Linked DNA regions of Callithrix jacchus. The main gene of each other region encodes a partner of the protein of the gene in region 4 in a complex. Links are inferred from orthologs where the notes say so. Each region holds a gene or a part of one and is shown on either strand. Other genes may lie near its edges.

Region 1 (4,563 bases), on a different chromosome or scaffold from region 4:
GTAATGTTCAGTGGTTTGAAAAAATGAAACAGAATGATGTGATGGTGTATAAACATAAGTATTGGAGGGGAAGGAGTGGGAAAATCTCACTGTGATACCTGAGACATGAAGGATGGTGACAGTGATCTTGGGGCACAGGCAACAAAGAAGAGCTAGTGCAGAGGCCGTAACACAGAAGGAATCTTGCCCTGCTTTGTAAAACAGAAATCTCCACTTGGCTGTGTCTAGAGCTTAGTGTGAAAGCAAGTCACTGATTGGAAGTGAAGTCTGGAAGATGGGCAGGAGCCAGACTCCGTGGGGTCTCAGGTCACATTAAGAAATGTAATTTTTATTCTAAGTGCAGTGGAATTTTATACGGATAGTAACACCATCTGATTATTTTTAAAAGATCACTCTCTAGGCTATATGCAGCATTGACTGTAGGATAAAACGTGGCCCAGGAAGATACATTAGAAAAAATTACAATCCATGTAGGAGATGGTGTTGGCAAGAACAAGGGTAGTGGCAGTAGAATAGAATTTGTTAAGTTTTTAAAGTAGAGTTGTTAAGACCTGTAAATGAACTGTATGTGAAGAGTGAAGGTAAAAAAATTTAAATAGGCACTCTGGGATTTTGGTTTGAGTAACTAATATGATGACCTTTACTGAGATGTTTAACACTGGAGGAGGGATATCTTTGGTAAGAAAAATCAAGATTTTCATCTTGAACTTTACGAGTGAAAAGGCTTTTTCTGCTTTTTTTTTTTCCCCTTCATTTAAAAGTTGCAAAGAATTTAGGGATAAGAAAGCATTTAAATTTTCAATTTTGTGAGCTCCTTACATTTTAAACTAAGTTGGGGACGTTGAATTTCCATTTAACAAGTATTTATTGAGTAACTACTATACGTCAAGGTCTACGTGATGATATACCAAGATGAACTAAGCATTCAAGACCTCTGTTCTCAGATTGACTTATTTTTTTATGGAAGGGAGGTGAGACGATTGGTGGGTTTTTTGGTTTTTGGGTTTTCTCCTTTTCGTTGTCTTATTAAAACTTAACACTTGAGTAGCCATCTTAATAACTACACTGTGCTTCTGGCAGTTGGGCCCACCGTTCTAAACGCTGTCGTAAATACTGACATCTCCCCTCCCACAAGAACTAACGTTTTTTAAATAAAAAAATTTTAGCAAACATTACGCATACAACCTTTGCTTTGAAGTGTAATATTTTTGCAGGAATGGTACCTTTATAAAGATCGTGGTTGCCCCGTACTTATTTGTTCTTTCTTCATATCCAATTAAATGAAAACACTAGTTTTTCCGAAGCCCAACTCTCTAGGCTTGTTGGTTCTAGCTCAGGATGGAAGCAGGAGTCGTTGGATTTAAACAGTTTGGTGTAATCCTTTTCCACGCTCTAACCCGCTAGCCGGGGACGTGGTGTCGGCTACCCGGGGCTTTCCGTCCACGCAGTACCGGAATGGAGTCTGGGAGGGGGTCGGGGACGGAAAAGACGGAAGAGACATTAAGTAATTGGTTCTTGAAGGTATAAAATGATGTTTAGGGTCTACTCTAAGGCACTGATTTCAAACGCCCGCCCCCTGGGCCGTTTAGGCCCCGCCCCTTATTGCCCTTACGCCAACTTCCACTTTGGCCTCTGCGGATTGGTTGTTATCTCCGCCTCAGAAGCGCTTGGGTTTTGCTTCCGGGTCATAGGCCTAGCCCTGAACGCAGAGGTTCCTGGGAGCCAAGCGTAGTAATGGCGTCTGTATGATATTCGGAGCCTGCTGCATCGGACCTCGGCCAATGTGAGTGACAGGAGGATAACAGATTATCTTCTTTATCCCGGTAGGACGGGAAAGGGCAGTTGGGATTGGAGTTGGTGGCAGAGTGCTGAGCGCGGGCGGCGGAGGCCCTGAAGCAGCTCGCTAGGGGCGGAACCGAGTGCCTGTCAGGCGCGTCCGGAGCTCTAGGCCTGCGGTTAAGATCGCAGCGTAAAGGCAGCTCGCCTACCGCTTAAAGCGAGCCTCAGGTCCACCCTTCACTACTCCTCGCATCCCTGTAGTGCTAGGCACGGGTGAAGAGGTAGCGAGTTTCTGGTTATAGCCAAAGACTAGCTCTCCGGAGGCCAGAGTGATAATTCTGTTGGCGTGTGGGAAGGCGCGGTGCCCCCAGAGCCAGATAATCCTGTTTCTTCTTTGAAGACATGCCTCTACCCTTTTCGGAAATCAAGAGAAATAGACCCCTGCCAAAAAAAAAAAAAACGAAAAAACAAATCCTCCCAATTCACCCACCCTCCCACACACTTTTCCGACACTTACAGCGTCTTAGTAACTAAATCTGTTAGACAGTATTCTTGTGATTGCGCCAAGCAGAAAATAAAGAATGTGTCCCTGGTTTTTGGTATTAGAATCCTCTGGGGCGAGGTTCTTGTTTTTTTGAACAGTCCTTAAATTATAACCCACAAGAGATCTGAGTTATAATATGATGCCTGTTGTAGAAGAAAATTGGATCAACAAAAGGTTGTTTAAGAATTTTTTTTCTATGTAACTGTCATTGAAGTTTAACACTTTTGCCTAGGGCACTTAATAACTTCGTCAGTGATTTTTTAAAAATTGTTTTTGGCTTTTGTTTCTGTTAGTCTATTTGCTATTGTGTGAAATTTAGATAAAATACAAACCTTAGAGAGTTTGGTGGAGTAAGGTTGAGCTGAGAATTTTTAAAACTCAGTCATGGCAGTACGGTATTTTATAAGGGTTTTGACATGTCAAGTGTCGTAATTCTTACAATAATCCTAGGAGGAATATCTCCATTCCGCTGATGACAGAAAGTTAAGCTAGGTGACTTCGTGAAGCCCACAGAGTCAGAAGAATAGGGATGCAAACTCAGATCTTCGTGACAGAATTTTTTGTACTAAGACATGTCTGGGAATCCATATTCCTTGTACTGCCTAAGCCTCATAATTTTTTTTCTTGAAAACTTTTGTTTAAGAAGATTAAGCAAGTTTTGGGGAATGAGTTTTAGAACTTATATCACCAGGATGGATATTGATTAATACTCTAAAATGAGAGTTCGTAATGTTGGAAATAACTTGATACTATTTTTCTTCAAAGCATAAAAGATGACAACTGCAGCCAGGCCAACCTTTGAACCTGCAAGGGGTGGAAGAGGAAAAGGAGAAGGTGATTTGAGCCAACTTTCAAAGCAGTATTCAAGCAGAGACCTACCTTCTCATACAAAGATAAAATACAGGTAATAAGACTTTTTTGTTGTCGTTCGCAAAACAAGACCAAATCTGTTAAATGACATGGTCATGATATAGTAGTATGTTTGAGTTATGTTACTTATTTATTTTCATAGACATAGAGTGCAACAGGATGTTTAACACTAAAATTTTGCTCTATGATTTTAAAATGCAAAATTCCTACTAACCAGGAATTTTCATATGTAGATAGAGCAATAAATAATATAAATAATAATGCCTCAGAGAGACTATGCACAATCAGCACCAGTCAATATATTAAAAATGTTACTGTTCTGAGTTGATATAATACTAATTACAGATATTTTAATCTGTGTAAAGCCGGCTGGGCGCAGTGGCTCACGCCTGTAATCCCAGCACTTTGGGAGGCCGAGGCGGGTGGATCACGAGGTCAAGAGATCGAGACCATCCTGGTCAACATGGTGAAACCCCGTCTATACTAAAAATACAAAAAATTAGCTGGGCATGGTGGTGTGTGCCTGTAATCCCAGCTACTCAGGAGGCTGAGGCAGGAGAATTGCCTGAACCCAGGAGGTGGAGGTTGCGGTGAGCCGAGATCGCGCCATTGCACTCCAGCCTGGGTAACAAGAGCGAAACTCCATCTCAAAAAAAAAAGAAAATCTGTATAAAGCCTTATCATGGGAAAATACTGAATTTGGATTTCTCGAAATATTGGGAACATCACAGGAGTGGCTGTTAGTAACCCTCAGATTAGCTTATGGTCTTGTCTATTTCCCTTTTTTATGCTTGAAGGACAAAGTCTCATTCTTGAATTGTCTTCCATTACTACAGTTGTGTGTGTGTGTAAGTAACATTTTTGCCCTGGCTCGTTTTTACTTTAGACAAACTACTCAGGATGCCCCTGAAGAGGTTCGTAACCGTGACTTCAGGAGAGAGTTGGAAGAAAGAGAGAGAGCTGCTGCAAGAGAGAAAAATAGGGATCGTCCAACCCGAGGTACCAACACTATCCCAGACATTTGTCTCATAAAATTATCTTTTTGATAGTTTTTCTTTCATGTAGCAACTGGAAAATGTTAACCATTTGTTTGCTTTTACACTTGATGTGAGTTATAATATTTAAGTCATTAGAGATGATAATAACAAATATTTACCAAAAGCATATTTGCCAGGCACTGTGGATATGATTTCTGTTGTCATAAATGCTTTTAATGTGGGCTCTTTGTACCCACAGGTCCCTAAAACATTGTAAGAAATGCAGTATTTGTTTTACTAAGTTAAATGATTTTTGTTTCCCCCAGAACATACAACCTCCTCTTCAGTGTCAAAAAAGCCACGGTTAGACCAGATTCCTGCTGCCAATCTTGA
Region 2 (4,755 bases), on a different chromosome or scaffold from region 4:
CGGGAGCCCACCCAGCCCACCAGTGAGCAGTGGGTGGGTGGACAGGCTCTGGGGCCAAGCATCCCCTGCACTGCCCCGCACCCCTTCCCTGTCCGAGCTCCTCCAAGCCAATGGGCTTGGTCTAGGCTCTCCTATCTTCCCTCACACCGTGGACCCTGGGGTGGTGCTTGCTGTCGCTCCGGCTGCTTTTCCCTAGTTGGGGAGATGAAGCTGCTGGCACATTGACCCCTGGAGGAAAGGAGTGACTGGGAATTTATGTCTAGGGCTCCCAGCAGCCTCTCTGCAAGCCAATTTGGAAACTGCCCCCGGCCCTGCATTTTGGGGGGTTACGGAGTCTCTCAGCAGGCCCTCTCCTGCTGCTCCCAAATTCCAAGGCTGCACTGCTTGGGAGCACAGGACGGTGCAAGGAGCCCCCTCTCCACTTCCCGCTGTGTCCTCCGTGGGCGGGGAATGACATCCCAAAGGCCGCAGCAGGTCCTTGAGTCCTGTTTCCCGGCGGATGCCAGGACAGCAGGCCCTGGGAAGGGAGTTGTCTCCAGCCTTGACACGGCCCAGCGGTGTAGCCGCCGAGGGGAACTCAGCTCCCCGCAGTGTGCGGGGCACAGGGCGCCAACCAACCAGGGCCCGTGGCCCAGGGACACGCGGCTTGTCGGGGGGAGAACCTGGGCCCTCGCTCTCCCTTTCAGGGCGGGCACCGTGGACAGGCGAGGCCAGGCTGCCGGCTCCCAGGCATGGCGGAGGCCACACCGCTCCGGCTGCCGCCCACCCAGCCACGCTTGAGGAGCGTTCAGCGGCCTCCACCCCGCCCGGGAGGACGGGGGACCGGGGACCTGGAAGGGCCTGGCCCTGGCTTCCCTGCAGCGCCCTCGGAGGCCGGACCAATGTGCCAGAGCTGAGGGCCCAGGGCTGCGCGGGCGGCCCGGCAGCGTCCCCAAGGGCGACGCCCCACAAGTTTGCCTCCAGGGCCCAGCCAACCCCTAGGGGTGGGAAAGCGTCGGCCCAGCCAGAGGATCCAGCAGGGCCGCCCCCTTCACCCGTGGCCCACAGGTCAAGACTCCGCGTCCTCATCTCGGGCTGGGACCGCCTTTGCGTCCGCCCTGAGCGGGACCGTGGGATCCTGGGGAGCCCCGCCTCAGTGCTCCGAAGCCCCGGAAGAGCTACAGCTGCCGCTTCCGGTCATGACCGGAAGTGTCCGAACGGCATTCGCCCTCCCTATGAAATGACGCACTTCCTGCCTGAGGCGGCCGCTGTTCTCACGGTTTCCAGCAGGTGGCGCTGGGACCACGGAAAGCCGGCGCGGCGGTCGGTTAGCCCTCGAGCATTCTGGGAATTGCAGGCGTGGCCCCTCCTTTTCCTGTTCTCCTTGGTCAGTTCCGGTCTTGTTTCGCCAACAAATGCCGCGGTTCCGGGGCTGTTTCCGAGCCGGACGCCAGGGCCGCGGTGTCCTGGAGTAGAGAGGCGGACGCATGCGCACAAGACTACACGTCCCGACAGGCGTCGGGAGCGGCGGCCCAGTGCCTTGTGGGAGGTGTAGTTTTGCGGGCGTGGAAGCCGCGGCGCTCGGCCGGATGAACACTCGGTTTCCCAGAGGGCTGAGCGCGTTGCATGGGCGGGCGGAGCCGACCAAGATGGAGACGGCCGTGCCGCCTTGAGCTGGTAGGTTTGTGTTGAGGAACGACGGGCCGCGTGAGCCGGGTGAGCCTCCGGGAGGTCACCGAGCGCAGCTGAAGCCCCGCTGTGCTCACCGACCCCCGTACCCCGCGGCCGAGCCCTTGGGACCCACAGCATCCTCGTGAGTGTCCAGCCCGACTTCGCACCGAGAGCCGACTTGGCACAGAGAGTTTGTTCCCTGGCGGGGAGGTCTTGCTGGCGCATAGAGAGGAGAAAGGCCAGGCCCTGCCTTCATGTGGGCAAAGGGACGGTTTCCTTCAGCCTCCGTCCCTGCCGGCTCTAAAACGGACATCAGTGGGGGGTTCCGGGTAGCCCCTTTCATTTACGGGGTGGCTTCTTCACGGAGGAGAGTCACGCCGCAGAGGAATTGAAGTGCTGCCTCTGTTTGACCTGGTGGGGGGCACTAGGAGCCCCTTCTGGTACCCCTGACCCCATCCTTGTTGGGAGCACGGGACACATGTCACCCTGGCGGGCAAGGAGTCAGTGGATGGATGAGGGCAGTGCAGAAGGGTGAGGCCGGGCCGTCCTCTCCACTGGCAATGCCAGCTCCGAGGCACCCAGTCACTCCACCACTAAATGGGTGCGGGAGGCCGCTTGGCTGCCCCGCTGGAAAGGCGGTGTGTGTGTTGAGTGTTACACGGGGAAGGCCACTAGAGGTCGCTCCAGGAGCTACGCGGCTTTGCCTCTGCCTGTGAGGGCTGCTCGAGGTGATTGATGGGCTGACACCCCACTTTGTGCGATGCCAGGGCCTTGGCTGCAGATGTCTTGGGAGCTCCCGGGGCTCTCCCAGCAGATAGGAGCAAACCTTTTCCCCGATGACCAGGAAGGTGCCTGCTCTTGCTCACCCCCCAACAGCAAGCAGCTTATAAGTAGCTCTCCTGCCTGATCTCGGCCCTGGGTTCCAGCCCTGGGCGGCTGCTTACTACCAGAATCGCTTCGTAGTTCCAAGCCTGCCTGCAGAGGGTTGACGCGATTAAATTAAGTCACGACTCAGAAGTCCCTACCCTGGGTTCTGGCCTGTCAGGGACTCCAAAACCCGGGCTCAGGTCGGTCCTGCCTCCCACCTCTTTCACACATTTGCGCTCCGGTCTGAGGATGGTCCTCTCCCCCACCCCTCCCACCTGCAGTCGAGCAGCTGAACAGACGCATGCCAGGGGCACTCCGAGGCCTGAGACAACCATACCTGTGCCACTGAGGACCTTCATCAAGGTTCCGCCCACCTGGCTGTGCAGCCACACTCCAGTGTCAGCAGCCAAGGGAGGTGAGAGGAGGGCTGGGAGGGGGAGAGGGGCCTCCACCCTGTGTGGGACAGGTCTGCCGGCTGACCCTCCTTGTCCAGGGGCGGTTGATCTGCAGGAGACTCATTCTTAACACTGTTCCTGAAACGAATCTCCTGGGCTGTTTTGGTCTAGGTGTGACGTGGTCCTGGGAACGCATGGCTGAGGCAGGGACAGAGGAGCCGTCCCCCAGCGTGGAGGGGGAGCATGAGACGGAGTATGACACGCTGCCTTCCGACACGGTCTCCCTCAGTGACTCGGACTCTGACCTCAGCTTGCCTGGCGATGCTGAAGTAGAAGCGCTGTCCCCAGGGGGGCTGCCTGGGGAGGAGGATTCAGGCCCCGATGAGCCGCCCTCACCCCCCTCAGGCCTCCTCCTCCCATCTGCGGTGCAGCCGTTCCATTTGAGAGGCATGAGCTCCACCTTCTCCCAGCGCAGCCGTGACATCTTTGACTTCCTGGAGGGGGCAGCCAGGCGGGCCCCACCCCCTGTGGCCCACAGCAGCAGAAGTGACAATGGAGGCTTCAAGCGGCCCCTGGCACCCTCAGGCCAGCCTCCAGTGGAAGGGCTGGGCAGGGCCCATTGGAGCCCAGCCTCCCCCAAGGCGCCTCCAGTCCCCGACTACGTGGCACACCCCGAGCGCTGGACCAAGTACAGCCTGGAAGATGTGACCGAGGTCAGCGAGCAGAGCAATCAGGCCACCGCCCTGGCCTTCCTGGGCTCCCAGAGCGTGGCTGCCCCTACTGACTGCGTGCCCTCCTTCAACCAGGACCCCTCCAGCTGTGGGGAAGGGAGGGTCGTCTTCACCAAACCAGCCCGAGGGGTTGAGGCCAGACACGAGAGGAAGAGGGTTCTGGGTAAAGTGGGAGAGCCAGGCAGGGGCAGCCTTGGGATCCGTGCCCCAGATAGGGGCGAGGGCCCAGTGGAGCTGGCCCATCTGGCCAGGCCCGGTAGCCCAGAGGCTGAGGAGTGGGGCAGCCCCCACGGGGGCCTGCAGGAGGTGGAGGCACCGACAGGGCCTGTCCACGGTGGGCCTATGCCAGGCCTCCCACTGGTGGAGACGGTTGGCTTCCACAGTAGCAGGAAGCGGAGTCGAGACCACTTCCGGAACAAGGGCAGCAGCTCCAAGGGCCCAGGCGCTGAGGTCTCAGAGGGAGACGGGGCCGCCTGACCACACTGGCCACTGCCGTCCTGCTGCCTTCCCAGGAGGTCTGGCCAAGGGGCAGCTAGAGTGGGAGGGAGCCTGCATGCTGCCTGTAGGTGGCACCGGTGGCCCTGGGTGTCATCCTCCCAACAGACCTGGCTGAGGCTCCTGGGGTGGGCTGGAAGCATTGGCTACCTGGTGGGGACAATAAAGGTTTTGGGACTTCCTCAGGCTTCGTGTATATCTGGGCCCTGCTCACCCCTGTCGGCTACGAGGGGTCCCGCTTGGCTGCTTCCAGCCTCACCGCCAGGCCACTCGAGGGTGGCTGGCACCTGCATCCCTCACCAGCAGATCACCCAGGTGGCAGCAAGAAGTGGAAACCCCAGGTCTCCTCCAGGGCTTGTGGCTCAGTGGCAGGTGTCCAGCGAGTGCCCTCAACGTGCCTGGGTGGGTACAGAATTTGCCCTCCCCCAAACAAAGCCCACACGATAACATCAGCCCCAGGCCTGGTGCAGATTCCAGCATGGAAGGCAAGAGGAAGGTGACAAAATGGGTCTGGACAGAGAGGCTGGGGTGAGCAGACAGCCGGGGAGCCAGGGAGCCAGGGCAGGTAGGTGTTTGACTGTGCCAGGGTGGTGCAGTGTTCTCTAGGTTCCACTGGA
Region 3 (4,488 bases), on a different chromosome or scaffold from region 4:
TCCCTCCCTCTCCCCCTTTCTTTCTTTCTTTCTTTCTTTCTTTCTTTCTTTCTTTCTCTCTTCTCTTCTCCTCTCTCTCTCTCTCTCTCTCTCTTTTTTTTCTTTCGAGTGTTACTCTGTCACGCAGGCTGGAGTGCAGTGGCATGATCTCAGCTCACTGCAACCTCCAACTCCTGGGTTCAAGCAATTCTCCTCTCTCACCCTCCCGACAGGTTCAGGCAATTCTCCTGTCTCACCCTCCTGAGTAGTTGGGACTACAGGTGCCCACCACCATGCCTGGCTAATTTTCTGTATTTTTAGTAGAGACAGGGTTTCATCATGTTAGCCAGGATGGTCTCGATCTCCTGACCTTGTGATCTACCCGCCTCAGCCTCCCAAAGTGCTGGGATTACAGGCAAGAGCCACCACACCCAGCCCCCACCATTTTTTTTTTTAAGACGGAGTCTCACTCTGTCACCCAGGCTGGAGTGAAGTGGCATGATCTCGGCTCACTGCAACCTCTGCCTCCCAGGTTCAAGCGATTCTCCTGTCTCAGCCTCCCGAGTAGCTGGGGATTACAGGCACACGTCACACACCCAGCTAATTTTTTATATTTTTGGTAGAGATGGGGTTTCACCATGTTGGCCAGTCTGGTCTTGAACTCCTGACCTCAAGTGATCCACCTGCCTCGGCCTCCCAAAGTGCTGGGATAACAGGCATGAGCCACTGTGCCTGGCCAAAATTCTCCTTTTCTTGAAACACTAAGTAACATCTCCGGAATACCAGTGTTCCTTAGAATACACATTGGAGAACTTTTTTTTTTGAGACGGAGTTTAGCTCTTGTTACCCAGGCTGGAGTGCAATGGCGCGATCTCGGCTCACCGCAACCTCCGCCTCCTGGGTTCAGGCAATTCTCCTGCCTCAGCCTCCTGAGTAGCTGGGATTACAGGCACACGCCACCATGCCCAGCTAACTTTTTGTATTTTTAGTAGAGACCGGGTTTCACCATGTTGACCATGATGGTCTCGATCTCTTGACCTCATGATCCACCCGCCTCGGCCTCCCAAAGTGCTGGGATTACAGGCTTGAGCCACGCGCCTGGCCTCACATTGGAGAACTTTTAGAGCCATCTTTCTCCTTCTGAGCCTTCCGACCTCTGGCTTTCCCCTCCCATACCTGTACTTCCGGCGGCAGCAACTGTTATAGTCGGGGGCTCTGTGCAGAGCACTCTGGGTGATAAGTCGTGTCTGGGTTAGCAGAGGAGCCTGATAAGGAGATGGGAGACAGAGTCAGAGGCTTCAGCCCTCTTCCCTTCCAGCCTGGTGTGTGCAGCAGGGTCTTGACTAGAATACACTCTCCATTCTGATTACCTCAGCTTTGGTTTCTTCCCTTCTCAATTCATTCTGATGTCTTGGATTCTGCTTCCTCTCCTTTCCTGGCTGCTTCTTGCCATAGAAAAGCTGCAAGCCTGAGGAGAAAGGGAAACAAGACTAAAAGCATAGCACCAAGAGCGGTGTGCAGAAATTTCGAGGGTTTATTCCCCATACCCTGTCTTTCCCCAAACTTACTGGATAGATGTTTCTTGCCTGCTCGGTGGGCAGTCAGCATAGCCAGGGTGTCCAGTACTGGTCGATGGGGGCAGATGGCACAAGCAAAACTGAGCAGGGGGAGAGAAGAGGATAATTGGTCCAGGGGAAGAGGGTGGGGCCAGTCCCTACAGTAAGTCCCACCCTGTCCTAGCAGTCCTTTCCAAAGCCCAACTCCAGGTCATCCAATCCCCACTTCTTCCGATCCTCACTTCCGGCCAAGGAATCCTAGATACTCCTGCTGTCCTGATTAATAACAAAAGTTTGGGGCCGGGCGCCGTGGCTCATGCTTATAATCCCAGCCCTTTGGGAGGCCGAGGCGGGTGGATCACGAGGTCAAGAGTTCGAGACCATCCTGGTCAACATGGTGAAACCCCGTCTCTACTAAAAATACAAAAAAATTAGCTGGGCATGGTGGCACGTGCCTGTAATCCCAGCTACTCAGGAGGCTGAGGCAGGAGAATTGGCTGAACCCAGGAGGCGGAGGTTGCGGTGAGCCGAGATTGCGCCATTGCACTCCAGCCTGGGTAACAAGAGCGAAACTCCGTCTCAAAAGAAAAAAAAAATTAGCTGGGCATGATGGTGCGTGCCTGTAGTCCCAGCTACTCGGGAGGCTGAGGCAGGAGAATTGCTTGAACCCAGAAGGCGGAGGTTGCGGTGAGCCGAGTTCGTGCCATTGCACTCCAGTCTGGGTAACAACAGCGAAACTCCGTCTCAATCAATCAATCAATCAATCAATAAAGTTTGTTGAAGCCGGGCATGGTCGCGCCCGCCTGTAATCCCAGCTACTCGCGACGCTGAGGAAGCAAGATCACTTGAGCCCTAGAGTTTGAGGACAGCCTGGGCAACACAGAGAGACCTCTATCTTTTGTTTGTTGAGCCTCTAACCATAGAACCCTCAGGCTTGGGCCACTCCTCGCTCTTACCGTCCATCCCGAAGCATCAGCGCCTCATCCTCTGGGATGTAACTGGCTAGCAGATCCCCGACTCTTCTTTTCTGCAGGGAGAAGGGGAAAAAATCCGGACGGCATCAGCAGATAGGAGAAACGGATGGAAGTGAAATGAGAGAAATGAGGAGTCAAATGGAATAAGGACCCTGGGGAGAATAGTGATCATAGACCGAAAAAGGTGTCACTACCCAGCTCTAAGTCGCCTCTTTCTCTCCCGCACCCCCGAGCTGTTGCCAGTGCAACAAAACAAAGCTCCTTCCCAACCTTCAGAGAGCGACTGAAGCTGCCCTGGATCCTCTCTGCTCACGCTTACTTTGAGAACATTGAGTTGACTCCAATCGTCTCCTTCCCTCTTGAAAGACATCACGACTGTGAGTCCCAGAAATGATAAATTCTCTTGTTCCGGTTTCTCAACTCCTCCAGGCCACCGTAGCAAGAGTGGGACAACTCTTTCTCTGTTTTCAGTCTCTTCCTGTCGGCCTCCGTACTTCCGGGGATGCGCTTCCACACAGGCTTTGCGCGTCCGGAAATCTACTCGCTGGTGCACGGAGGGAACTGCATTTCCTATGGTGCCCTGCGACACTGCAGACGCCGAGCCTTTTGGGAAATGAAGTCTTTTCTCAAAGAGCTTGCCGCTCTGCTGGATCCAGGCCCTCGCATCCTGGCGGATCTGCGGCATTTGGAGGGACAAGAAGCTAGATGTGGAGCCGAAATGTGAGGGTGTGACCTCTCTGATGAGTGGAAGGTGTACTACAGACTCTCGCAATCTTCGCGCTCTTCATCTGCGGCGACAGTTCACCTGGGGTGGGCTGATTTGTTTCTGACCCTAGCGGACGAACCCCGGGACCGGGCAGACCCGGGATGCGAGAGCCCCCAGAGGCCAGGCTACCGGACTTGGGGGCAAACTGAGGAAAGACTGTTGAGGATTATTTCTAGAGGTCAAAGGTCAGAGGTCAATGTAGCGAGGAGTTGTGGGGGGTTCACAGTCGGTGGGGTGCTTAGGGGAGAGATTCAGGGAGGGACTGAATACTCAAGGGACAGATTTGTGGATAACAAGCTTGGAGAGAGGAGAAACCGGGAGGGGGCAGGTGGCGTAGTGCCGGGGAGGCGGGGACACAGGGGAAGAGAGAAGGGGAAAGGAATCCCTTGAATATCCATTCCCAGACTTAAGGCCTGTCACCCTTAGTCTCGGCCGGGCCTTCCCCAGTTGCAACCCTACCTGTCGTTAGGGTGAAGAGATGGCTTCCCCGTCTAGACAGCCCCCCCCAGGGGGGTCAGGACTTCTTCAAGGGAGCCGGGCTCGTTCATATGGAAGCCTCGTGCAATCGGCCTGCTCCCCAGTGAGGGAGAGACGCCTGGAGCATCACTTGGAGCCTGGAGACACCCTGGCTGGACTAGCACTCAAATATGGGGTGACGGTGAGTTTTCCAGGATTGGGGTGCAGACAACAGTCAGGAGGGATTTAGTCCTGAGAAGAATGTAGTGGCCTTTCTAGGTAAACTCCTCTGAAAAGTTCCTAAAGTGTTACACCTGTTCTGCCTTTATCTTTGTTTTCCCATCACAGTGTTGCACTGCCGGGTTGGGACAAGTCCTGTCCTACTATTCCAATGGAGAGGAACAGCTCCAATTTTACTATGCCAGACACTGTGCTGGGGGCTTCACATACATTAGCTCATGTCACCCTCACACCCTATCAAGTACATTTATTGTTTCCTTTTGGCAGATGAAGAAACTGAGACTTGGATTGGTTAACCAGTTTGACTAAGGTCAAATAATGAGTGTCAGATTTGGGATTCAAACAGGTCTATCTGACGCTATTAACCACACAGAAACATTTTCTTTTCATTTCTTTTTTTTTTTTGAGGCGGAGTTTCGCTCTGTTGTCCAGGCTGGAGTGCAATGGCGGATCTTGGCTCACTGCAATCTCTGCCTCCCAGGTTCAATAATTCTCAGCCTCAGCCTCCCGAGAAGCT
Region 4 (3,955 bases):
ATAGTTTCCCTTATTGCTAACAACTTAGAAGACGCTTAGATCTTTTTAGTAATGAAATGTTAAAACCATTCAGAACATGATATAATATGCATCCTTGTAGTTGGGAAGTAATTTCTAAGCAATTAATGGAAGCCTTTCATTTGGACATCAAGAGTTTCTCCATGCTAAGAACCATGAACTGTGTCTTGTAGGATGCAGTGAACTGGCTAGGCTATGCCTACCTGTATATCCGAATGCTGCGATCCCCAACCCTCTATGGCATCTCTCATGATGACCTCAAGGGAGATCCCCTACTGGACCAGCGCCGACTAGATTTGGTTCACACGGCTGCTCTGATGCTGGACAAGAACAATCTGGTCAAGTATGACAAGAAGACAGGCAACTTCCAGGTGTGTGGTGGGTGAGGGTTTTGAGGCAAAGGTCTCGGCAAAAGTCAACCCAGGAGAAAATATGTCAGATTGCTCTTAGATAGAAGTGAGTACTGCCTATCTAATCGCTTGTTGCCTAGAACAGCGGAAAAATGGGTAGCTTTCCCCATAACTTGGGGTGGATAATTTAGCTGTCTTGTCTGTGCAGACACTATGGGTCAGCTTATTGTGCCATTTTTTTTCATGTGCCTGGGCCTGGCATTTGTACTGCTGTGAATTCATCTAATTGTCCTGTAAGGTCAATAACTTACAGGACATTGAGTTACATACTTTACAAAAAAACTGCACAAAAAACCTATAGGACAATAACTTATGGTCCACAGTTAGAGGTTGGAGCTCATTAATAGTCAGTACTGGATTGAGTCTACCTTCTCTCCAGGTGACAGAACTGGGCCGTATAGCCAGCCACTACTACATCACCAATGATACAGTGCAGACCTACAACCAGCTGCTGAAGCCCACCCTCAGTGAGATTGAGCTTTTCAGAGTCTTCTCATTGTCCTCTGAGTTCAAAAACATCACTGTGAGAGAGGTGAGCCTATGCAGCGTGTTGGGGGCGGGGAGTTGGTGCTCACCAAGTCACTGAATGGTTTCCCTCCTCGGCCTCTGGACTTTCCCTTGACGTTTTCCTCCTTGTGGCAGGAGGAGAAGCTAGAGCTGCAGAAGTTGCTAGAGAGGGTGCCTATCCCGGTAAAGGAGAGCATCGAGGAACCCAGCGCAAAGGTGAGCTCCTCTTTTTGCTTTGATCAGGATGAAGATTATATAGTTTTCATAATCTTCTAAAAGATGAACCTCGAATTTGAGTTCATGTGTGATACCCTCCTCAGTTCTCCTAGTTTTTGCAGCTTTCTTACATGTTCTTTTTATATGAAATAACAATTATTTAGTATTTGTAAGTCAAGAGCTATAGAAGATCTCACCTGGCATGAATGCTCAGAGCAGAAATGTACTTCCCTTTCTTGTACTGTTCAGTGATTGGTCTCCTGCTGGATGATTTTGCTTCTTTCCAGATCAATGTTCTTCTACAAGCCTTCATCTCGCAGCTGAAATTGGAGGGCTTTGCACTGATGGCCGACATGGTATATGTCACACAGGTGAGGGCAGAGTTGTATGGGAGCTGTGAGAAGGGGCCTGAACAGTTCAATCCCTGTGTGCTGTATGCATCCTGGGGAAAGGAGGCCTGACCCTAGTGAGATGGGAGGAATGCTTAGTTCTGTTCTTGGTAGTTGGTTGGTTGGTGCATGTGTGGTACAGCCACTCTGTAGTACCCATCTTGAGCACATGAGAAAGGTAAGGCCTTAAGAGGGAATGCTTTGAGACTCCACAGGCCCTCAGAGAGACAGGAAGAGCCACGGGACACAGTGTCTCCTTCTCAACAGAGAAGTGATTTCCCATTGTGGCTGCAGAACTCATAAATTCCAGAAATGGCACAGGGTTTTATTAGCTGCTCTTCATCTTTACCTCTAAGAACAGGTTACTGGTAACCCTTAACTCTTCGTAGAACTCTAAATGCTAAATGAGTCAAAAGCTCTAAAATCATGCAGTGAATGTTAGGTTAAAATGTGGTGCAGTGACCTTGAGCAGCACTTTTCTAATTGTTCCCCATTTGGTAAGCATCTACTATATGGAAGGGAGAAAGGTGTAAAAACAGAGGGGATTTGCCTTCAAGTTGGGGTGGGTCATTGCATCAGAGCTGGAGTAATGAAACCATGTGTAGAGTGGCTAATGAGGCCTGGGGATAGTCAAGACTTAGCAGTGGGAATGCTGTTTCTTTTCCTAGTCGGCTGGCCGGTTAATGCGAGCAATCTTTGAAATTGTCCTGAACCGAGGTTGGGCACAGCTTACAGACAAGACCCTGAACCTCTGCAAGATGATCGACAAACGCATGTAAGGGCCCAGTGAGCTGGATGTTGGTCACCATGAGTGAGTCCCCAACCCAAGGGTGTTTTGGGAAAGCCTCAGGGTGCATCTGATTTCCAGACCTGACATCTGAAATATGACCTGAACCTGGGTGCACATTGAGAAGAAGTAAGGCCCTCTGTGGTAGGGCTGGGGAGTATGAGAAAGGTGGAGGCCAGGGCTGGCACGGTGTCAACGTCCACCTTTAATGACTGTCTTGTGTGGTCACTGCTGAACTATTGGAGCCATGATGTGGGCAGTTTGTTGCATCCCTGCAGAAGGGACCAACAGCTTTGCCTCTTTCCTGGATAGGTGGCAGTCCATGTGTCCTCTGCGCCAGTTCCGGAAACTCCCTGAGGAAGTAGTGAAGAAGATTGAGAAGAAGAATTTCCCCTTTGAGCGTCTATACGACCTGAATCATAATGAGATCGGTGTGTGGGAAGCTCTCGCCCTTGTCCTCACTGCCTGGGGTCTTTCCCAGTCGGCCTACGTAGTCTTCCAGTTTCTAGGCCTTCTGCATTAGTATCCTTTGTTCAGTTTGTAGTCTTTGAGTTCCTAGGCCTTCTGCATTAGTATCCTGTGTTCAGTTCTCAAGTTCCACTGAAGTACAGGCTGGCCCTTGGACTGGGGACTTGGAATCCTGCACTCCACTGACAGTAAAGGGAAGACTATCCCTTTCCCACAGTGTCCCCTCAGGCCCAGTGTGCAGTATAGTAGGCAGGCTGGGCTGCAGCCTCAGTACTCTTATTTCCCCATAGGGGAGCTTATCCGCATGCCGAAGATGGGGAAGACCATCCACAAATATGTCCATCTTTTTCCCAAGTTGGAGTTGTCGGTTCACCTGCAGCCAATCACACGCTCCACCCTGAAGGTAGAGCTGACCATCACGCCAGACTTCCAGTGGGATGAAAAGGTGAGGCTTTGCAAGGCAGAGGAGCTGAATTGGAGGCACCAAGTCTATGTTGGTGGCAGAGGAGCTGGACTGGAGGTGCTCGGTCTATGTTGTCTCACATTCCTTTTACCTGTGCTCCTGTTGGCAGGTGCATGGATCATCAGAGGCTTTCTGGATTCTGGTGGAGGATGTGGACAGCGAGGTGATTCTGCACCATGAATATTTTCTCCTCAAGGCCAAGTATGCCCAGGACGAGCACCTCATCACGTTCTTCGTGCCTGTGTTTGAACCGCTGCCCCCTCAGTACTTCATCCGAGTGGTGTCTGACCGCTGGCTCTGTGAGTGTCTCCTCTCCAGAGTCCCCAGGAACAGTCCCTCCAAGAACAGTGGAATGTCTTGCAATTTGTCCTGGTCTTCTGGGATTGCCTTTGCCGGGGACAGAGTGATACATACGCTGCCTAGGTTGCCAGTGTTCATGGAGGGGATCTAGAGGCCACTTAGGTAAAGAGAACAGTGCTTACATCCTTCCTGTTTCTTTTCTGGCAGCTTGTGAGACGCAGCTGCCTGTCTCTTTCCGGCACTTGATCCTGCCAGAGAAGTACCCACCTCCAACTGAACTTTTGGACCTGCAGCCCTTGCCTGTATCTGCTCTGAGAAACAGTGCCTTTGAGAGTCTTTACCAAGATAAATTTCCTTTCTTCAATCCCATCCAGACCCAGGGTGAGTATTTCCATCC
Region 5 (3,955 bases), on a different chromosome or scaffold from region 4:
AGCATGTACACCTAAATATTAATACACTCAGCTCTCAGGGCAGCCAGGTGAGGCCTGGGCAATTGTACCAGCAGCCTCATCACTTTACCCCAGGGCATCATATAAATATCTTCCTGTTCTACATGGTCCACAAAATGAAAAAGACTAGGAAACACTACTACCTCAAAGCACAAGCATCAGGGAAGACTGTGAGATTTAGATGCACAATTAACTACCCTTGATCTGTAACATAAGTTTACAGTGAAACATGCCCTAGGAAGGTCTGGCAACTAGAAGGAATTCTTGATATCTAGCTTAATGCTACAACTGCTTTCCCGACACAGTCATTAGGAGGCAAAGCCAGACCAACAGTTTGGCGAGAGGAAGGAATAGAGAAAAGGAAACTTTCTTTTTTCTTAAGCCCTCACACCTTGCTCTAGCCACACCACACTGGAACAGTAGGCTCACACTGATTATTGCGCTATGAATCACAACTCTACAGGTGAACAACAATAAAAAATTAACCCCTCTGATCAGGTTCAGTGGCACTTTGGGAGGCCGAGGAGGGTGGATCACTTGAGGTCAGGAGTTCAAGACCAGCCTGCCCAAATTGGTGAAGCCCTGTCTCTACTAAAAACACAAAAAATTAGCTGGGCATGGTGGTGCGTGCCTGTAATCTCAGCTACTCCAGAGGCTGAGGCAGGAGAATTGCCTGAACCCAGGAGGCGGAGGTTGTGGTGAGCCGAGATCGCGCCATTGCACTCCAGCCTGGGTAACAAGAGAGAAACTTCGTCTCAAAAAAAAAAAAAAAAAAGAAAAAGAAAGGTAAAAAACAGAGGCCTGGAGGGGAGGCAGGCCTGGTACCTATGCTCCTGGGGAGACAATTTGTTAACAGATGGGAAAAAGAAGCAAGTCCTGCAGGGCCACAAGTCAACAGAATTATTTCCTGGAATCTCTTTTTGACCAGTGTCTCCACACCTCTGCAGCCCCTGCAACACACCAAGCTGACGAGTGCTGCCCCGGTGTCCATGGCAACCAGGTAGAAAACGAAACCCCTATACAAGGGGAAAAAATGTCCAACCAACCTGCTTAGTAAGTACACTCACCTTGATCCCATTAAAATTGTCAACGGCCAGAATTGTGCTCCTCTGGTCTTCATAGCAGAGAAAACAAAATCCTTTGGACTTCCCAGTCTTCTTGTCCCGCACGAGATTAATGTTAACAATCTCCCCATATCTATTTATTTTATAAAAGAGTAAGACACTATTGACTTAAAAGGCAAAAACATGCAGATAAGGTAATAAAACAAAATTCAAATAATACAGTATGTACAAGAGATACATCTAGAACGAGATGATACAGAAAGGTCATGACAAAGAAAAAGTCAGACAAGAACAGGAGTACCCAATTAAAAAACAGGCACTAATATCAAGAGCAAAGGCTAATTCAAGGCCACAATAAAAAATGAAACTAAGAAGATTATTTTACACTGAAAAAGGCCTAAATACAAAACAAAGGTATAAGTCAGGAAAACTTTAGGTCAATTAAGAAATCAAAATTTTTAATTAAAAAAGCTATCAGAAATGCAAAGAAAAACTAATAGCAAAAGTTATGGAAGAATTTAACAAATCACTTTGAAGTTTATCATGCACAAAGTGGACAGAAATAAGATCAGATTAATTAATATACATAATTACTATAACAATTATACAAACAAATATTAATGTAATTAGATACATAGATATCTTTGAATCCTACAAGATGACAGTTTCAAGAATTCATGAAGATTGTACTAAAATAGACTATGGATTAGGTCTCAATGTAAACCTCAATAATTATACTCCAAAAAACAGACAGACCTAAAGCTGGAAATGATATTTTAAATAAAAAACACCTTACCTAACTAGAACTTGAAAGCTACTCTCTTAATAACTGGATGAAAGAGAAGATGAAGCAAAATATTTTTTTTAAAATGGCAGACTATTTAGAAAATAGCAAAAATGAGAAGAATATATACCAAAACTTATGAAATGTACCTAACATCATAGGAAAATTTGTAACTTTAAAATAATTTTATTGTGAACAAAAAGGATGAATATAAAGGAAGAAAGCAACCCTAATGAAAGCAGATGGGAGCTAATAAAGATAAAGGCAGAAATTTGGCTAGGCATGGTGGCTCATGCCTGTAATCCCAGAACTTTGGGAGACCAAGATGGGAGGATTGTTTGAGGCCAGCAATTTGAGACCAGCCTGAGCAACAGAACAAGACCCTGTCTCTAAAAAAAAAAAAAAACCAAATAGATAAAAAGGCAGAATTAAATAGAAAAAAAAAAGGCCAGGCATGGTGGCTCACACCTATAATATGTAATACCAGCACTTTGGGAGGCAGGAGTATTGTTTGAGGCCAGTAGTTCAAGACAGACTGGGCAACAGAACAAGATCCTATTTCCAAAAAAAACAAGCAAACAAAAAAAGATCAGGCATAGTGGCTCACACATGTAATACCAGCACTTAGGGAGGCCAAGGCCAGAGGATCACTTGATGCCAGGAGTTTGAGACAAGCTGGACAATACAGCAAGACCCCTGTTTCTACAAAATAATAAGTTTTTTAATTAGCCAGGCATGGTAGTGTTCACTTGTAGTCCCAGCCACTCAGGAGGGTGAATGGGGAGAATCACTTGAGCCCAGGAGTTCAAGGCTGCAGTGAGCTAGGATCATGCCACTACACTGTGACCTGAGCGAGAGAGTGGGACTCTGTCTCAAAAAAGAAAAAACATTAGGAATAAAAGACTACCTTACTCCTTGCAGCAAGATAAATTCCAGATAAGTTAGAGGTTTATAAATTTAAAAATAAAGTCATAAAAATAAAACGGGAATTGACAGGTATGTTACATAATCACATACATACACTTCAGCCCAAAATCTAGCAATCTACTTAATGAGAAATACTAGAGCTGATTCAAGTAAGTTTAGAAACTATTTAATACTAAAATGAAGGTATAGGCCAATGCAATTAGGTAAAACAGATATAAGAAATGAAAAAAAGGAAGTAAAATTATCCTTTTGTAGATTACATATGATAGTATACATGGAAAACCCAGAGAATCCATGATAAACAATGATTAAAAACAGAGCGTAACAATTCAGTAAAGCAACAAGATATAAAGTTAAAAATCAATCACTCTGTTATACAGAAACAATAATCAGAAGAAATGATAAAAGGGAAATCGTATTTATCATAGCAAAAAAAGACAAAGTACTTAGAAATATACTTATCAACAAAAAATGTACAAAGCCCATATAAAGAAAACTATTTTAAAATTCCCAAAAGTCACAAACATAGATTTGAACAAATATGAAGGTATCCCTTGTTCTTGGACAGGATGACTCACTATCATAAGGTATCAAAATCTTCTCCCGAGTTAATGTAAATTTAATATAATTCCAATAACAATACCAGTTTGGTTTCTTTCCTGAAAGCTGAATAAGTTAATTCTAAAATTCTTATGGAAAAAAGAACATGTAAAAATAGCTGGGAAAACTCTTAATGAGAACAATGAGGGGGAGTAACTCTTATCAGATATCAGACAGACTGAAATTACTAGTGTGGTATTGGAAAATTAATAGACCAATAGAATAAAAGCTAAGAAAGAGACTCAAGTATACATGAAAACAAATAGTATATGATAAGGGTGACATACCAATTTGCTGGGGAAAATATGGACTCAAAAAACTTTTTTTTGCAGAGATAGTTCTCACTATGTTGCCCAGGCTGGTCTTGAACTCCTGGCCTCAAGTGATCCTCCCCCCTAGCCCTCCCAAAGTGTGTGGATTACAGCCACTCTTGAGCTTGGACTTTAAAAAACGGTGTTAGGACAACTAGATAGCCACTTGAAAAAAAAGAAAACTGGCTCTAAACCTCACGCTGTACAACAGAATGAACTCTAAACAGATCAAAAACTTCAATCTATAAAAT
Region 6 (3,955 bases), on a different chromosome or scaffold from region 4:
GAAGGCCAGGGCCTTCTGGGGGAGAATTTCCTCAGTGATAAGGAGGGACTTGTTGGGGCAAGTGTTTAGGGAACCCTACTCTCCCTCTCCACAGGCCTCGGGATGTCTCTAGCAGATGAGCTCTTAGCTGATCTCGAAGAGGCAGCAGAAGAGGAGGAAGGAGGAAGCTATGGGGAGGAGGAAGAGGAGCCAGCGATCGAGGATGTGCAGGAGGAGACACAGCTGGATCTTTCCGGGGATTCGGTCAAGACCATCGCCAAGCTATGGGACAGTAAGATGGTAAGAGGACAAGAGGCATGGATAGCAGGGGGCTCTAAACAATCTCCCAGAAAGAGGCGATACAGGCTTCTTTTTGAAGAGTCCTGGATTCCGACTCTCCTCCTTCCCTGCAGTTTGCTGAGATCATGATGAAGATTGAGGAGTATATCAGCAAGCAAGCCAAAGCTTCCGAAGGTACTTCCTCCCCCTTCGTGCCCCTCCCCATCTCCTGACTCTTCTGCCAGGCCCCTTGGCTCCTTTGCTGCTTGTGGCTGGGTATATCTCCCTCTCAGAGTTTTCCAGAGCCTTCTCTTTTTTTTTATTCCTCCCCAACCCATTCCCTTTTCCAGTAAACATAAATTGCTTCGTACAGCGCATCTTCTTAAGTCCTCACTGTGTCCTGAGTTTGCTAATCACGATGGGACTTAGCTTGAGTTTTCCCAGACTCCCAGATTCACATGACCAGTTACAGGGTTTTGGCCACATCTAGAAGCCACTTGTCCTTTAATTGCTTAACATATTCTTTGAGTCTAGGTCTTTTTTCTTAAATTTGATCTACAAAGGAAGCAAACTGCTGCCATGAATGGGAAACTGGCATCACTTGGTAAAGACGAAGTCACCATGTGAAAATAAATACGTGATTATTAGAGCATCATCTAAAAGCTTTTCTCACTTCCACATTTCGGGAACACTGGCTTATCTCTTGAGTAGTCAGACTGTCTTAGAGGGCAGTTCTGTTACCACTCCCATTCTCTCTCTTTTTTATTTTTTCCTTTCGACAGAGTCTCACTCTCTCGCCCAGGCTGGAGTGCAGTGGTATGATCTTGGCTCATTGCAACCTCCACCTCCCAGGTTCAAGCGATTCTCCTGCCTCCGCCTCCCGAGTAGCTGGGATTACAGGCATGCAACACCATGTCTGGCTATTTTGTATTTTTTTTAGTAGAGACGGGGTGTTTCACCATGTTGGTCAGGCTGGTCTTGAACCTCTGACCTCAAGTGACCAGCCCACCTCGGCCTCCCAAAGTGCCAGGATTACAGGCATGAGCCACTGCTCCTGGCCTTCCCATTCATCTTGAATGAAATTTCCTGACAACAGGAAGCCATGGGAGGTTGCTGGGCAAAGACGTGTGTGAGAAAGCCGAGTTTCAGGAGACCCACTGCCTGCTGTCTTTAATGTTTACCTGGGCACCCAGTGGAAACCCCCAGGTCTGTGCTCTAATGTGCTCAAGGTCTGGTGGAAGAGGCAGGCCAAGTTCCAGACAGCTGTCAGTGGGTGATACCAAGCTGGGGCCACTGGAGCCACAGGAGGGACTGGCTGACCCTGCCCCAGGGGTCAGGGAAGAATTGATGGCTGAACTGGACTCTAGAGCATGAATGCATACGCCAGGGGAAGAAAGGGAGGAAGGGGCCTGGGAAAGAAAAGGGGGCCGGGAAAGAAAGCGGCACGCCCAGGGCCTCAGATACTAGGAGTGAGAGGGCGGGCTCAGGAATGTGCCAGATCCTGCAGGGTTCCAGATGCCAGGCCGGGGAACTTCTCCATCCAGAGAGTTATGGGACACAGAAGGTGACATTTCCTGATGTCAGGCCAGGAGCAGGGATGAGTCAGATCCCGTCATACACGGTGTCTGGTTGGAGAGGTAGTCATGAAACATCTCACAAGCAGGTGGCAGTTCCTGTTTATTGGAGGCACAAGTGCTGCAGGTACCCAGAGAAGGCATCTGATCCTTCCGGAAAGGGAGGGAACGGTTCTGAGTCGCTGCCTGAGTCTTAAGCACCACAAGAGCCATTTGAGCATCAGGGTTAGGAGCACAGACTCTGCAGCCACCCTGCCTGGGGTCAGATTTGAGCTCTGTGACATCAGGCAGTGAGTGTATGACATTTAAACACAGCATCACTTTTTGTTTGTTTTTTGAGACAGGGTCTCACTCTGACACTAGGTGAGAATGCAGTGGCATGAACGCAGCTCACTGCAGCCCTGACCTTCTGGGTTCTGGGTTCCGGCGTTCCTGCCTCAGCCTCCCAGATAGCTAGGACCACAGGCATACACCACCATGCCTGGCTCATTTTTTTTCTTTAATTATCTGTAGAGATGGGATCCCCTGTGTCGCCCAGTTTGCTCTGAAACACCTGGGCTCAAGCAGTTCTCCAGCCTGCGCCTCCCAAAGTGCTGGGATTACAGGTGTGAGCCACTGTGCCTGGCCCCTTATAACCAAAGCACAAAGGGTTTTCTGGAAACAGACGTGGGGAGACGGAACAGCATATGCAGAGGCCAGGAGGGGCCAGATGCAGTGGGTCACCCCTGTAACCCCACCACTGTGGGGGGCCCAGGCGGGCGGATCACCTGAGGTTGGGAGTTCGAGACCAACCTGGCCAACATGGTGAAACCCCATCTCTACTAAAAATACCCCAAAAAATTTAGCTGGGCATGGTGGCACATGCCTGTAATTCCACCTACTGAGGAGGCCCAGGCAGAATTGCTTGAACCTGGGAGGCGGAAGTTGCAGTGAGCCGAGATGGTGCTCTGTAGCCTGGGCAACAAGAGCGAAACTCCGAGAAAAAAAAAAAGGCCAGGAGGAGTGGGTGTCCAGGGCACTGCAATCAGTCCTTTGTGGCTGGAGTGGAATACAATGGGGTATGATGAGAGGGAGGGGTGGGAAGTGTAGAAGCTAGACCGCAGAGTTGCTGAGTCAGCAGACAGGAACTGGACAGCTCCCTGTATGCCAGGTGCTCTTCTGGGTACTCGGGTGTGGGTGTAGACCATGCAGGCACAGCACTGGTCCCTGCAGAACTTCCGGTGTTGGGGACACCATGACTATCAGTCTGGGAAGCTTGGTCATGAGTGTCATGAGCCTTAGGGCTGTGGGAAGCCATAGGAGGTTCAATTCCAGGGTAGAGGGGTCAAGTCTAGACTGGTCTGGAGGGAGAGAGATGGGAGGCAGGGACACAAGATCAGGGACTCTGCAGACATCAGCCTGTCCCCCGGTTTACTCTTCAGCCCCCCCCTTCCTGACCCCCTCGAAACCTTGTCCTCCATCTCCCCCAGCTTTGGGACCCAGGATAGGGTAGGGATTTAGATCCTCACACTCCGCTCTGTGTCCTCACAGTGATGGGGCCAGTGGAGGCAGCCCCTGAATACCGCGTCATTGTGGATGCCAACAACCTGACCGTGGAGATCGAAAACGAGCTGAGTGAGTGCTGGGGGGAGGCGGACGCAGCTCCGTGTGACACCCTCATGCCCATCTCCCTTCCCCACTGGCCTTTCCCAGGGTCCTGCCCCTGAGCCCATGCTCAAATCCAGGTCCACCTGCTGTAACAGTGGTTTGAAGAAGAAGGAAGTTTGTTCTCCTCTTATGTGTGAGTCTGAGCGAGCACTTGGGGGTGGTGTGGCCCCAGCTCTTTCCATCTTGTTGTTCAGCCACTGGTTCACGGTGCAAGGTGGCTGTCCCACCTCCAGCCATCACCTCTGCATTTCCACCAGCAAGGCGCTTCTTATTCTTAAGAACGTGTCACCACAGCTCAGCTCACATCTTACAGAGCAGAACAAATTCCCGTGGTCATACGTAAAGGAAGAAGGGGAAATGGGTGTTAGGGCAACCAGCAGACTCTACCTCCTGTCTTACCCAAGACCGCCTGTCCTGTCCACCCTAGACATCATCCATAAGTTCATCCGGGATAAGTACTCGAAGAGATTCCCTGA
Region 7 (3,539 bases), on a different chromosome or scaffold from region 4:
CTACAGCCTGAGTCCCCTCCCTCCCCCAGGGACTGGGCCCCCTTAGCTCTCTAAAAATCTCACATCCCCCTGACCTGTATCCCCAGATGATAATTGAAGATGTCCTAAGCCCAGATACCTGTGTATGTCAGACAGATGAAGGCCGAGTCCTGGAAGGTGAGTTTGAGTGATTGCAGCTGGAGCATGATCATCCTGGAGGTTGATCAAGAAGAGTGTCTTAGGCCCAGAGCCTGGCCCAGGCAAAGCTGGGAGGTTGGGCAGAGTTCAGGTATTTTGCAAGGCCTAGCATCCTCTTACAGAACATTGGACACTTCCATTATGGTAGTTATCTTGAGCCCCACACTCCCGGTCTGCCAAGTTTTCTTTTTCTTTCTTTCTTTCTTTTTTTTTTTTTTTGAGGCACAGTCTTGCTCTGTTGCCCAGGCTGGAGTGCAGTGGCATGATCTTGACTCACTGCAACCTCTGCCTCCTGGTTTCAAGCGATAATCCTGCCTCAGCCTCCTGAGTAGCTGGGACTACAGGCAAGCGCCACCACACCTGGCTAATGTTTGTATTTTTAGTAGAGATGGGGTTTCACCATGTTGACCATGCTGGTCTTGAATTCCTGACCTCAAGTGATCCTCCCGCCTTGGCCTCCAAAGTGCTGGGATTACAAGCCACTGCGCCTGGCCTCCATCTATCAAATTAGCATGGAAATTACTTTCTTCCTCTTGTGATTGGTACCTTGGTGAAGGGATGTGTATTGAGCTCTCAGTGCAGGGCAGGGCTTAGAACATGCCAGCAATAAACGATGGCTGTTCTTATCACTACCACCACATGGACATCCTCCCTTTATTATAGTGATTTTTATAAACTACTCCTTAGGCTTCCTCATCTGTGAAATGGATGTGGTGGGACTCTATCTGTCAACAGGGCATAGAGTGGCTCCAGAGAATACAGGAAAGGCCCTTCTTTTTTTTTTTTTTGAAATGGGGTCTTGCTTTATCACCTAGGCTGGAGTGCAGTGGCACGATCATGGATACTGCCACCTCGAATTCCTGGTTTCAAACCATCCTCCCACCTCAGCCTCCTGAGTAGCTAGGACTCAGGCATATACTACCATGCCTGGCTAATTTTAAAATTTTTTGTAGGCTGGGTGAAGTGGCTCATGCCTGTAATCCCAGCATGCTGGGAGGCCAAAGTGGGTGGATCACCTGAGGTCATGGATTTGAGACCAGCCTGACCAACAGCTCAAAACCCTGTCTCTACTAAAAATACAAAATTAGCTGGGTGTGGTAGTAGGCACCTGTAATCCCAGGTACTTGGGAGGCTGAGGCAGGAGAATCATTTGAACCCAGGAGGCGGAGGTTGCAGTGAGCCTAGATTGCGCCATTGCATTCTAGCCTGGGCAACAAGAGTAAAACTCCGACTCAAAAAAAAAATTTTTTTTTTTTTTTTTTTTTGTAGAGACAAGGTCTGACCATCTTGCCCAGATTGGTCTCAAGCTCCTGGGCTCAAGAGATCCTCCCACCTCAGCCTCCCAAAGTGCTGGGTCTAGAGGTGTGAGCCACCACACCTGGCCAGGAAGGGCCCTTCTGACAGGACCCCGGTTGGGCTGGTCCTTGCTGTGGGCCTCACTCCCCTCTCCCTTACCTGTAGGCCTGAGGGAAGACATGCTGGAGACACTGGTTCCCAAGGCAGAGGGCGACCGTGTGATGGTGGTGCTGGGCCCACAGGCTGGAAGGGTGAGTCTCAAACCTGGCAGTGGAGGTTTGTGGGTCATTCACAGCCTGTAGCAGGGTCTAGGCTGGCCTTGCTGATTTCACTTCACCTCTGTTCCAGGTGGGACATTTGCTGAGCCGGGACAGAGCACGGAGCCGGGCTTTGGTGCAACTGCCAAGAGAGAATCAGGTGGTGGAGCTTCACTACGATGCTGTCTGCCAGTACACGGGCCCTAGTGACACAGATGAAGACTGACCCATGGGACTCCTCCCATCCCCTAGGCTGTTACCAGTTCTGTACAGTATGAGGAAGTTGCCTTCAAGAAGGTGGGAAGATCATTGTTCCATCCTCTACTTCTAGTGCAGTTCTGGGACAAGGACAAGGGACATGGATGGATGAACCAGTAGGGAAGCTAGAAACAAACCCAATATTTACCAGAATTTAGGGTATAATAAAAACCATTTCGGACACTTAATAGAAAGATGTAGCAGGCTAGGCACGGTGGCTCACGCCTGTAATCCCAGCACTTTGGGAGGCCGAGGCGGGTGGATCACGAGGTCAAGAAATCGAGACCATCCCGGTCAACATGATGAAACCCCATCTCTACTAAAAATACAAAAAATTAGCTGGGCACGGTGGCGCGTGCCTGTAATGCCAGCTACTCAGGAGGCTAAGGCAGGAGAATTGCCTGAACCCAGGAGGCGGAGGTTGCGGTGAGCTGAGATCGCGCCATTGCCCTCCAGCCTGGGTAACAAGAGTGAAACTCCGTCTCAAAAAGAAAAAAAGATGTCTCTAGCACTGCTCAGAGGGCAAATTTTAAAACTAAAGTCTGGGTGAAAGATTTGCTAGTTTTACAGAAAGATTTGTTATCTTAAACTCAAGCTGGTTTTTCTATTTTCATGTAAATGACTGGGATGCTGTCTTATAAAATCTTCCAAGTTCATGTTTGTGAAATAAACATTACATGAGAGTTTAAAAAACAAAACAAAAAAAAAAGATGTAATCATAGGCCGGGTGCGGTGGCTCAAGCCTGTAATCCCAGCACTTTGGGAGGCCGAGACGGGTGGATCACGAGGTGGACAGATCAAGACCATCCTGGTCAACGTGGTGAAACCCCGTCTCTCCTCAAAATACAAAAATTAGCCGGGCATGGTGGCACTTGCCTGTAATCCCAGCTACTCATCAGGCTGAGGCACAAGAATTGCCTGAACCCAGGAGGTGGAGGTTGTGGTGAGCCGAGATCGCGCCATTGCACTCCAGCCTGGGTAACAAGAGCGAAACTCCATCTCAGAAAAAAAAGAAAGATGTAATCATAAGTGGTATCATGAGCTGCGAGTTAAGGTGGGAACTGAGTTGACTGAGGTGGGAACCATTTCATTTTTCAGCCTTGCTTTCCTGCCCAGGGTACAGGACAAGTTAAAGGACTCATTTGATTATGAGCTCACTCTTGGGATATAAAAACTATGAGCTTAGGCACAGTGGCACATGCCAGTAACTCCAGCAGTTTGGGAGGCTGAGGTGGGTGGATCACTTGAGGCCAGGAGTTCAAGACCAGCCTGGCCAACAAGGGGAAACCCTGTCTCTATTAAATAAAGTATGAAAATACAAAAAATTAGCCAAGTGTGGTGTTAAACGCCTATAATCACAGCTACTCAGGAAGCTGAGGCAAGACAATTGCTTGAACCCGGGAGGTAGAGGTCGCAGTGAGTCCAGATCATGCCACTGCATTCCAGCCCAAGGGACAGAGTTACACTCTGTCTCAAAAAAAAAAAATCTGACTCTTGACTAGATGCTGTGGAATCTGAAGTACTAGGTCTCTGAACAACTTCCTGAGCAAG

What was found.
Region 1: SNRNP200 (region 4) and CWC15 share a complex: the UniProt entries of both Homo sapiens proteins name them as parts of the minor spliceosome. The link is inferred for Callithrix jacchus from reciprocal best matches to the Homo sapiens genes SNRNP200 and CWC15.
Region 2: the proteins of SNRNP200 (region 4) and TSSC4 are in contact, whole or in part, in a cryo-EM structure (PDB 7PX3), measured with the Homo sapiens proteins. The link is inferred for Callithrix jacchus from reciprocal best matches to the Homo sapiens genes SNRNP200 and TSSC4. Residues at the interface, in NP_054733.2 of Homo sapiens: Arg1438, Arg1475, His1502, Lys1748, Gln1749, Val1752, Asp1753, Thr1756, Trp1757, Tyr1761, Arg1762, His1778, Leu1781, Ser1782, Asp1783, Leu1785, Ser1786, Glu1787, Val1789, Glu1790, Gln1791, Glu1807, Met1808, Asn1814, Met1817, Ile1818, Tyr1821, Tyr1822, Asp1928, Ser1931; in NP_001284587.1 of Homo sapiens: Val198, Ser199, Ser200, Phe201, Asn202, Gln203, Asp204, Pro205, Gly211, Arg212, Val213, Ile214, Phe215, Thr216, Lys217, Pro218, Arg220, Gly253, Pro254, Val255, Glu256, Leu257, Ala258, His259, Leu260, Ala261, Gly262, Gly303, Phe304, His305.
Region 3: SNRNP200 (region 4) and SCNM1 share a complex: the UniProt entries of both Homo sapiens proteins name them as parts of the minor spliceosome. The link is inferred for Callithrix jacchus from reciprocal best matches to the Homo sapiens genes SNRNP200 and SCNM1.
Region 5: SNRNP200 (region 4) and RBMX2 share a complex: the UniProt entries of both Homo sapiens proteins name them as parts of the minor spliceosome. The link is inferred for Callithrix jacchus from reciprocal best matches to the Homo sapiens genes SNRNP200 and RBMX2.
Region 6: SNRNP200 (region 4) and PRPF31 share a complex: the UniProt entries of both Homo sapiens proteins name them as parts of the U4/U6-U5 tri-snRNP complex. The link is inferred for Callithrix jacchus from reciprocal best matches to the Homo sapiens genes SNRNP200 and PRPF31.
Region 7: SNRNP200 (region 4) and GPKOW share a complex: the UniProt entries of both Homo sapiens proteins name them as parts of the minor spliceosome. The link is inferred for Callithrix jacchus from reciprocal best matches to the Homo sapiens genes SNRNP200 and GPKOW.

Annotation. Positions count from the first base shown.
Region 1 is NC_133511.1:45,351,122-45,355,684, forward strand, and holds the start of CWC15 (spliceosome-associated protein CWC15 homolog), read left to right. Parts: upstream 1-1,715; 5' UTR 1,716-1,823; intron 1,824-3,088; 5' UTR 3,089-3,096; coding exon 3,097-3,227; intron 3,228-4,079; coding exon 4,080-4,192; intron 4,193-4,496; coding exon 4,497-4,563. UniProt on the Homo sapiens protein: Involved in pre-mRNA splicing as component of the spliceosome. Component of the PRP19-CDC5L complex that forms an integral part of the spliceosome and is required for activating pre-mRNA splicing.
Region 2 is NC_133511.1:129,467,608-129,472,362, reverse strand, and holds TSSC4 (U5 small nuclear ribonucleoprotein TSSC4), read left to right. Parts: upstream 1-1,607; 5' UTR 1,608-1,792; exon of another isoform or gene 1,793-2,798; 5' UTR 2,799-2,932; exon of another isoform or gene 2,933-3,083; 5' UTR 3,084-3,106; coding exon 3,107-4,120; 3' UTR 4,121-4,319; downstream 4,320-4,755. UniProt on the Homo sapiens protein: Protein associated with the U5 snRNP, during its maturation and its post-splicing recycling and which is required for spliceosomal tri-snRNP complex assembly in the nucleus.
Region 3 is NC_133519.1:11,058,696-11,063,183, reverse strand, and holds the start of SCNM1 (sodium channel modifier 1), read right to left. Parts: upstream 2,942-4,488; 5' UTR 2,880-2,941; coding exon 2,829-2,879; intron 2,563-2,828; coding exon 2,492-2,562; intron 1,637-2,491; coding exon 1,548-1,636; intron 1,448-1,547; coding exon 1,350-1,447; intron 1,245-1,349; coding exon 1,156-1,244; intron 1-1,155. Other genes in the region: LYSMD1 (lysM and putative peptidoglycan-binding domain-containing protein 1), read left to right, coding at 3,754-3,933. UniProt on the Homo sapiens protein: As a component of the minor spliceosome, involved in the splicing of U12-type introns in pre-mRNAs. Plays a role in the regulation of primary cilia length and Hedgehog signaling.
Region 4 is NC_133515.1:6,131,843-6,135,797, reverse strand, and holds part of SNRNP200 (U5 small nuclear ribonucleoprotein 200 kDa helicase), read left to right. Parts: intron 1-191; coding exon 192-389; intron 390-807; coding exon 808-960; intron 961-1,070; coding exon 1,071-1,151; intron 1,152-1,438; coding exon 1,439-1,522; intron 1,523-2,208; coding exon 2,209-2,315; intron 2,316-2,639; coding exon 2,640-2,758; intron 2,759-3,085; coding exon 3,086-3,240; intron 3,241-3,367; coding exon 3,368-3,557; intron 3,558-3,765; coding exon 3,766-3,939; intron 3,940-3,955. UniProt on the Homo sapiens protein: Catalyzes the ATP-dependent unwinding of U4/U6 RNA duplices, an essential step in the assembly of a catalytically active spliceosome. Plays a role in pre-mRNA splicing as a core component of precatalytic, catalytic and postcatalytic spliceosomal complexes.
Region 5 is NC_133524.1:126,050,948-126,054,902, reverse strand, and holds part of RBMX2 (RNA-binding motif protein, X-linked 2), read right to left. Parts: intron 1,216-3,955; coding exon 1,086-1,215; intron 1-1,085. UniProt on the Homo sapiens protein: Involved in pre-mRNA splicing as component of the activated spliceosome. As a component of the minor spliceosome, involved in the splicing of U12-type introns in pre-mRNAs.
Region 6 is NC_133523.1:47,297,576-47,301,530, forward strand, and holds part of PRPF31 (U4/U6 small nuclear ribonucleoprotein Prp31), read left to right. Parts: intron 1-94; 5' UTR 95-102; coding exon 103-279; intron 280-392; coding exon 393-453; intron 454-3,362; coding exon 3,363-3,446; intron 3,447-3,906; coding exon 3,907-3,955. UniProt on the Homo sapiens protein: Involved in pre-mRNA splicing as component of the spliceosome. Required for the assembly of the U4/U5/U6 tri-snRNP complex, one of the building blocks of the spliceosome.
Region 7 is NC_133524.1:49,662,479-49,666,017, reverse strand, and holds the end of GPKOW (G-patch domain and KOW motifs-containing protein), read left to right. Parts: intron 1-86; coding exon 87-156; intron 157-1,638; coding exon 1,639-1,724; intron 1,725-1,821; coding exon 1,822-1,956; 3' UTR 1,957-2,644; downstream 2,645-3,539. UniProt on the Homo sapiens protein: RNA-binding protein involved in pre-mRNA splicing. As a component of the minor spliceosome, involved in the splicing of U12-type introns in pre-mRNAs.